Linked DNA regions of Drosophila melanogaster. Each later gene encodes a partner of the first gene's protein in a complex. Each region holds a gene or a part of one and is shown on either strand. Other genes may lie near its edges. The genes, in order: dgt4 and dgt2.

Region 1 (3,937 bases):
AAGCTGCTCATTGAGTTCAGCTACGAGTTGTCCAAGTTCGAGGGCAAGACGGGATCGCCGGAGAAACCATTGTCTGATCTGGGTTTGCTGTCCTATCGATCGTACTGGGCGCAAACCATACTGGAGATCTTTATCAGCCAAAACCCGAGCACGGACGGCGAAAAGCCCACTATAACTATAAAGTATGGCTAGTTCTAAGCTTAAAGTAATACAATTTTCAATCCACAGAGATTGTGCTTCATTGCCGAAACATAGATTAATCATGCTCCCAAAATTTTTCTTCACAGCGACATCTGCGAATGCACATCCATCAAAAAAGAGGACGTGATCTCAACGCTGCAGAACCTGAACCTGATCAACTACTACAAGGGCCAGTACATCGTGTGCATCAACCGGGTTATCATCGAGCAACACCGGCGAGCAATGGACAAGCGCAAGATCCGCATCGACTCGAAATGCCTGCACTGGACACCCAAAGACTGGTCCAAGCGCTCCAAATGGTAATCTCCTCATCTTCTCCGTATAAATAACTGAGTTTAAACAGCTTTGAATCCGTTTTTTTTTGTTTTTAGATTTCCGCTACCAATATTCTTCATCGGATGATCCTGGCTTCGTTGTAGCTTGTAGTTTTCATTTACAGTTTCCGTTTTTAATGTTATAAACTAGTTTATATCATACAATATTATATATACTTTTGAGACGACCGGCTAGTTGTTTGTTTCCCGCGGTGGGAGAAGATCCTCCACAAGGCGGTCCATTGCCTGTATCATGCCCATCTCCATACCATTCTCCAATCCATCGACGGCGGTACGCAAACTTCTTAGAGCTTCTTGGTTCTGGGCGAACTCCCGTTGTTGCCGGCATAGATTTAGGCGCGGTTTGTGGGTGGTGTTCAGATGTTCCAGGCACTGCTTCACATCGTTGGAGTCCAGAATGGCGGGACGCAGATCACTGCCCAGTTTGGATCGCAAACTAGCGATATCCTTGGCCGCCTGGTCGACTTGATTCACATCAGATACACGATGGGCATCCACGGCCGCCTGCAGGGCTCCGCACTTCAGGAGCCTCGCCAGCCGCCCAAAGTCCCGCTGATACTCACACTTGGCGTCCAGCCAAATGCGTACTTGCTCCTCCACCTGGCGCTTTACATTGCGGCTGTCTTCCTGAAAACGGCGCATCGCCTCCAGGTGCAGCAGGTATTGGATGTCGTCCATGGTGCCCTCAGTTGTCAATGATGGCGGTGTGGTCGTGGTGGGAGTGGGTGGAGTTTCCATAGTGGCTTACAAAAACTTCTTAGTTTTTAAAGTGGGAAATTCGGATTCGATTGCCGACGCTATCGCTTTCGCAGCTGCTATCGGTAGCATTTGAAGTCGGCTAACGGAGATTTTTGTAACGATAGGCGCGTAGCTATGTTCGAGTCAAATTTGGCTATTAATAACTATATAAAAAAAAAATGAAAATAATTCGAAAATGTAAATAACAACAAGATATGTAGGTTTCCTTACATAAACTAACAGGTTTTTAAAGTTTCTAGAAAACTGAAATAAGTTGTTTGATTTTGCTTACCGATAGTTGGGAAACCAGCTCTTATTGATTTTGGGGCTAAAAATGTAAGCCATGCAAATGAAGTTAACGTTTAAAAACAAGTCAATTCCTTGCAGCACGGAAACCAAGTACTGTAAAAAGTAATTCCCTTTCAATTCAATTTCACTTCTTTAGCAGCATATTTCACCTTCCCTTCCAAGCACCAAATGTCCGGCGACTCTCGCGCGACAGCGTTGCCAGTTAGGCGACGAACACGTTTTAACTATTCGTTTCGTTTAGAAAACACACAACGCTTGCCTAATTTTTTTTAAACATATTCAGTGGACTGATAACTTGGTATTGATATTGACAAATGGGTCGAAACCAGAAGCAAAATTTTTTCGCGGCTCGCAAACGTCAAAAGCGGGAGAATGTGAGTCACCTCAATTTGAAAGGAGAAACATTCCACGTTTTTGGATTTTATTCTTAAATATATTTTTTATCTTAAAGGGTCCCAAGCGCACCGATCGTCAGGCCCAGCCGTATGAGGAGATCAAAAGGGATAATGCCTTCTTCATCAAGTACTACCAACTGCAGAAGATCTGCGCCACCGATGAGGAGTGGACGCAGTTCCTTGCTTCCATCAGGGACAATCTGCCCACTACTTTCCGTGTGACAGGATTCAAGGACGAGGCCAAAGCCCTGCTATCCATTATTGAGACGCAGCTATTCACCGAGTATGTGAGGGCGGTGGCCGAGCTGCACCAGAAGGCGCCCGAGGATGTGGAACGTCCGCTGTGCCTGCCGTGGTATCCAAACGGACTGGCCTACCAGCTGCACCTTACCCGCAAGGACATTCGACGCTCGGAGCCGCTCTACCGGCTGCACAACTTCCTAATTGTGGAGACCACGGCGGGCGGCATCAGCAGGCAGGAGGCCGTATCCATGATCCCGCCAATTGTCCTGGATGTCCGACCCACGGACAAAGTTTTGGACATGTGTGCTGCGCCAGGTTCGAAGACAGCCCAGCTCATTGAGGCTCTGCACGCTGCTCCCGAGGAGCACAAGATTCCGCCCGGCTTTGTGCTGGCCAACGATGTAGACAACAATCGGTGCTACATGCTGGTTCACCAAGCCAAGCGTCTAAACTCGCCCTGCCTGTTGGTGACCAACCACGACAGCAGTGTCTTTCCCAATCTCGTGACCACGAAGCCGGACGGCTCAAAGGCGATCCTTAAGTTCGATAAGATCTTGTGCGATGTACCTTGCTCCGGCGACGGCACACTGCGCAAGAATCCAGACATTTGGCTGAAGTGGAACCTGGCACAGGCCTACAACCTCCACGGCATTCAATACCGCATCGTACGTCGTGGCGCTGAGATGCTGGAGGTTGGCGGAAGGCTGGTGTACTCCACCTGCTCACTGAATCCCATCGAGAACGAGGCGGTGCTGCAGCGGATCATAAAGGATGCCGACGGTGCATTGGAGCTGGTGGATGCGGGGCACTTGGTGCCAGGTCTTAAGTACAAGCCCGGCATGACCGACTGGAAGCTGGCCACCAAGGAGGTGGACCAGATCTTTACCCGCTTTGAGGAAGTGCCTGAAAGCCTGCACACTATAATACGGCCCGGTATGTTCCCTCTGCCGGCCGACGAGATGGCCAAGATCGGGTTGGAGAAGTGCCTCCGCGTATTGCCGCATCTCCAGGACAGCGGCGGCTTCTTTGTAGCCGTGTTGGAGAAGCGTCGTCAGCTAAGCTTCGAAAAGAACGATGTGGTGGAGCTGGTAAAGCTGAACGAGACGGCCAAGCAGCCTGCAGCTGAGCCGCAAGTGGACGCGGATGGCAAGCCCATCGAGGAGAAGTCCGTTCCGTGGGGACCGCAGCGAAAGAAGCGACGTCTGCATGGCTACAAGGAAGATCCTTATGTCTTCTTCGGCGAGAATGATCCTGACTACCAGGCGATCAAGGAGTTCTACCAGCTGGACGAATCCCTTAGTCAACGATGTCTCTTAACTCGCTGTGTCACGGAGAAAAAGAAGAACATCTATTACTGCTCTGAACCCATCCGCGATTTGGTGCTTAACAACGAAAACAACATTAAGATCATCAACACGGGCGTTAAGACATTCGTGCGCTGCGAGAACCGGCATACGGTGCATCCCTTCCGATTGGCCCAGGAGGGCCTCCAGACCTCCAATGCCTTCATGGGCGCCAGCAGGAGAATCCAGGTGGAGCGGGAGGACCTGGTAATGATGCTCAATTGCACTGATCCCACGCAGCCGCCGTCGACTCACGAACTGAAGAAGGAAACCCAGGAGCGCTGCAAGGAATTGGGTAAGTTCAACCGGTTCCTATGCTCTGACGGTTGGCTAATAATGATGTTCCATTTCAGGGGTGGGCAGCTGCATACTT
Region 2 (3,453 bases), on another chromosome or scaffold:
CACTGGTGCTTAACCGGATTGAATATGCGAATGACGCCGCGGTAACCAGCCGCGGCAAGCACAGGATCGCCGGTCACAGAGTCGTAGGACCAAGCGCATGTGTAGAAACTTTCATCGGTCTAACGAGGGCGTAACGATGATGTATGTAAGTAATAGCATATGATGAGTACTTACATCTGGGTCTGCGTAGACTTGCAGCAGTCGAATGCCTTCGCAGGACTCCTGTCCGGTGCTCCTCTCGCACTCATAAATGGAAACCCGATCCTTGCCAACGGTGGCGAACACCTGCGGCTGGCCTCTGTCCAGGAACGGATTGAACTGCACTCCGAAGATCTGATGGTTGTGGTCCTCGCGGACATGGGAGCTGCAATGCATCCGGGATATAAACATTATGACTTATGTTCTGCCTGGAAAAATCACACCTATATTTGTACAAGGGCTGAACCATTTTGGGTGCCTTGATCCGCCGACACAGGCGGTTCAATTTTCGTGTATTTGGCGATTTGCTTCTGGTGGTGGTCGTAGTAGTGCTGAACAAACTGGCGGTGTCCTCCCGATCCACGGAATTAACTTCGTGCTCATCATCCGGCTCCACAACATTGCAGACACTCGAGGAATTATTGCTCAGCACTGCCTCCGCTGGAGAGTGGTCAGTGGATTCGTCCTCTGCCGGTGGCTCTTCGCTCGGAGGAGATATTTCACTGGGATTCGTTTCGGTCATATCTGTTTTATTCCGGCAAACTTAAAAGCTTCTTTTGTTTACAAATTGTTTATCCCTAGAGTGACCGTCTGCAAATACTGCAGTGCAAAACAGTGTTGCCATTCTAGAGCGAAAAGACCTAAACGAACAACCCTGTTTAAATCACAATTATAATGTATTTAAAAATCTAATTTACATAATACTAGTTTGCTTAAATCTACTTCTTGGCGGCGAGCAGCTCGTCCAGGTGCGCCTCCACCTCCTTATGTGCCTTGACGCTATGTTCGGTGCGAGAGGCGGCCTCGTGGACGAAAAATCCGCGCAGTAGTTCTGCTTTTGTTTGAACAAGTTGCGCCTGCGCCTGTTGCAATTTTAGTTCGTTTGCCAACTGCGGCCCCAATTTCAATTCGGCGGTCTCCTTGAGAAGCGTGCACTTACGAGTGAGAAGCGCAACCAATTTCTCCAGACCGCTGCGATGCTCCTCCTCCAGGCGCAGAATCTCCTTTTGGTCGCAGCTTAAGTCCGCCTCCTGGCCAAAGGCGTCCGGGAACTCCTCGCGTATCCTGTCGCACAATTCGGCAATGGGTTGCAGAGTTGTGCGTAATTGAGCGGACAATTTGGTACGCACCGTCTTGCGATCCGTGTAATTCAAGGGCGGAAAACTGCTGCCGCTCGGTAGACCTGTTAGATTTCCAATGGTTATTCACTGCTTTTGGAATAAACTTGTAACGCGCCTACCAAGCACCTGCTCCTGACCAGCTCCCTCCATCTCGCCGAGTCGCGCATAACTTCCAATGGAAACCAATTTGAGGGCTCTTTTGATTTCATCACTCGGATTTGGGCCCACATCCAGGCGTCTTAGCTCGTCCAGCACTAGCTTCAGCTTGAGCACCTTCTTCAGCTCCGCATCGCGAGCCAGCCGCAAATCTTCCGAGTGTTCGGGCAAGAGCGTGGCGGATGGATCATCCATTTAGGTGGTAAAATGCTTAAATTGACCCGAAATTGATTGTTTGATTCGAATGGGCAAGCGCATGGCTGCGATACGGCAACGCTACTGAGCAACAGTGTGACCGGTAGCTACTAACGATAATATATTTTACTTATATTTTATAATGGTCACCCCAAGATTATTATTTAAAGCGCGCTAGAGAAACGAGCTAAATTCAAAAATGTTGATTACCCAAATAATTATGAAACAAATTCGAGACTATCCCATTGTGTCCACAATAAGCATTGCCGTCAGCACTGTCCTGGCCTCAGAGGTGATTTGGAAGCTGGTGCAGTGCTCGCGCAGCAAGCGAGAGAAGGCAAGCCGCGTGCACGAAGTGATCATCTTCAATGAACTGGGCGAGATCTGTGCGGCGGTGCATATGCGCAACAGCAGCATGGGATCCCAGAAACCACAAGTGTCGCCCTGCTGCAACACGCATTGTTCGCTGCGGAATGTGGCCAAGATCGTAGAGCAGATCGATCGGGCTGTATACTCCATTGACCTGGCCATATACACCTTCACCTCGCTTTTTTTGGCGGATTCAATAAAGCGGGCCCTGCAGCGCGGCGTGATTATCCGGATCATCAGCGACGGGGAGATGGTCTACTCCAAAGGTTCTCAGATCAGTATGCTGGCACAATTGGGAGTTCCAGTTCGCGTCCCCATTACCACGAACTTGATGCACAACAAATTCTGCATAATCGACGGCTTCGAGCGCGTCGAGGAGATTCGTCTGCTGAGGAAGCTCAAGTTTATGCGTCCGTGCTATAGCATCGTGATCAGCGGCTCCGTAAACTGGACGGCTCTTGGACTGGGAGGCAATTGGGAGAACTGCATTATCACAGCTGACGACAAACTCACAGCCACGTTTCAGGCGGAATTCCAACGAATGTGGCGGGCTTTTGCGAAGACCGAGGGGAGCCAAATCCAGCTCAAGTAGAAATCAATTGATTTAATGTATGACTACCAAACAGTTCCTCAGTATGCCAAATAATTATAGTTCTTATTTTCTAAGTGCCTTCAATTAAACTAAAACTTTTTAAGGCAGCTTGATCTTCACACACAAAGGAGTGCCAAATTAATTAAGCAAAACAAAAGTAATCAAAATGTATACCTAACAGTATAATCCGTATGAAATCTTTATCACTTCGATTGAGTTGACTAATTTTCAACGTGCATTTAGTTATGATCAGCTTTGACTATATATATAACTTTCTACTTTATTCATCATGTTATTGAAAGCTTTTAAGTAAATAAAAGTTAATTACAAAAAAGATTACATGTATGTATGTACAAAACATTCCGAAATATAACTGCTACAGATTTCTTTACTCTTATATAGTTTCTAAACCAAACCAACTTATCAACTATTTGTCCTGTTGCTTCAGCTTATCAGCGCGGCGCATAAATGACTCCTTTAGGCCGTTGAGTCGTTCGATTTCTGCCAGAATCTCATAATATTCCAGATAGGATACACCCGATTTCAGTAATATTTCTTGTTTTAAAGTGAGCACGCGGGCGACTTCCTTTTGCTTGCGATGCAAAGCGTTCAGTTTGAGCGAAACGGACGACTCCTTGGGCGCCTTGGACTTCTTGTCGTTCTTTGATTTCTTGGACTTCTACGGGGATCAAAATGAAATAAGTTTTAGGTCGCAAATAATTTGTTTACGTACTTTAATTTCCATTGTTTATGTGGAGATCTCCGCGTGTTAAGTTGTTATTAAGTTCGTGGTGAATGGCAAAACAAAAAATAAGAAGAAGA

What was found.
Region 2: dgt4 (region 1) and dgt2 share a complex: the UniProt entries of both Drosophila melanogaster proteins name them as parts of the augmin complex.

The regions. Positions count from the first base shown.
Region 1 is NC_004354.4:4,111,565-4,115,501, reverse strand, and holds dgt4 (dim gamma-tubulin 4), read right to left. Parts: upstream 1,802-3,937; 5' UTR 1,567-1,801; intron 1,439-1,566; 5' UTR 1,275-1,438; coding exon 708-1,274; 3' UTR 574-707; downstream 1-573. Other genes in the region: Tip60 (Tat interactive protein 60kDa), read left to right, coding at 1-182, 288-500, 573-573; Nsun2 (NOP2-Sun domain family, member 2), read left to right, coding at 1,898-1,957, 2,035-3,859, 3,918-3,937. UniProt on the Drosophila melanogaster protein: As part of the augmin complex, plays a role in centrosome-independent generation of spindle microtubules. The complex is required for mitotic spindle assembly through its involvement in localizing gamma-tubulin to spindle microtubules.
Region 2 is NT_033779.5:11,988,241-11,991,693, reverse strand, and holds dgt2 (dim gamma-tubulin 2), read right to left. Parts: upstream 1,759-3,453; 5' UTR 1,671-1,758; coding exon 1,439-1,670; intron 1,382-1,438; coding exon 918-1,381; 3' UTR 722-917; downstream 1-721. Other genes in the region: escl, read right to left, coding at 1-119, 175-364, 423-721; zuc (zucchini), read left to right, coding at 1,870-2,631; CG34163 (uncharacterized protein), read right to left, coding at 3,059-3,310, 3,365-3,376. UniProt on the Drosophila melanogaster protein: As part of the augmin complex, plays a role in centrosome-independent generation of spindle microtubules.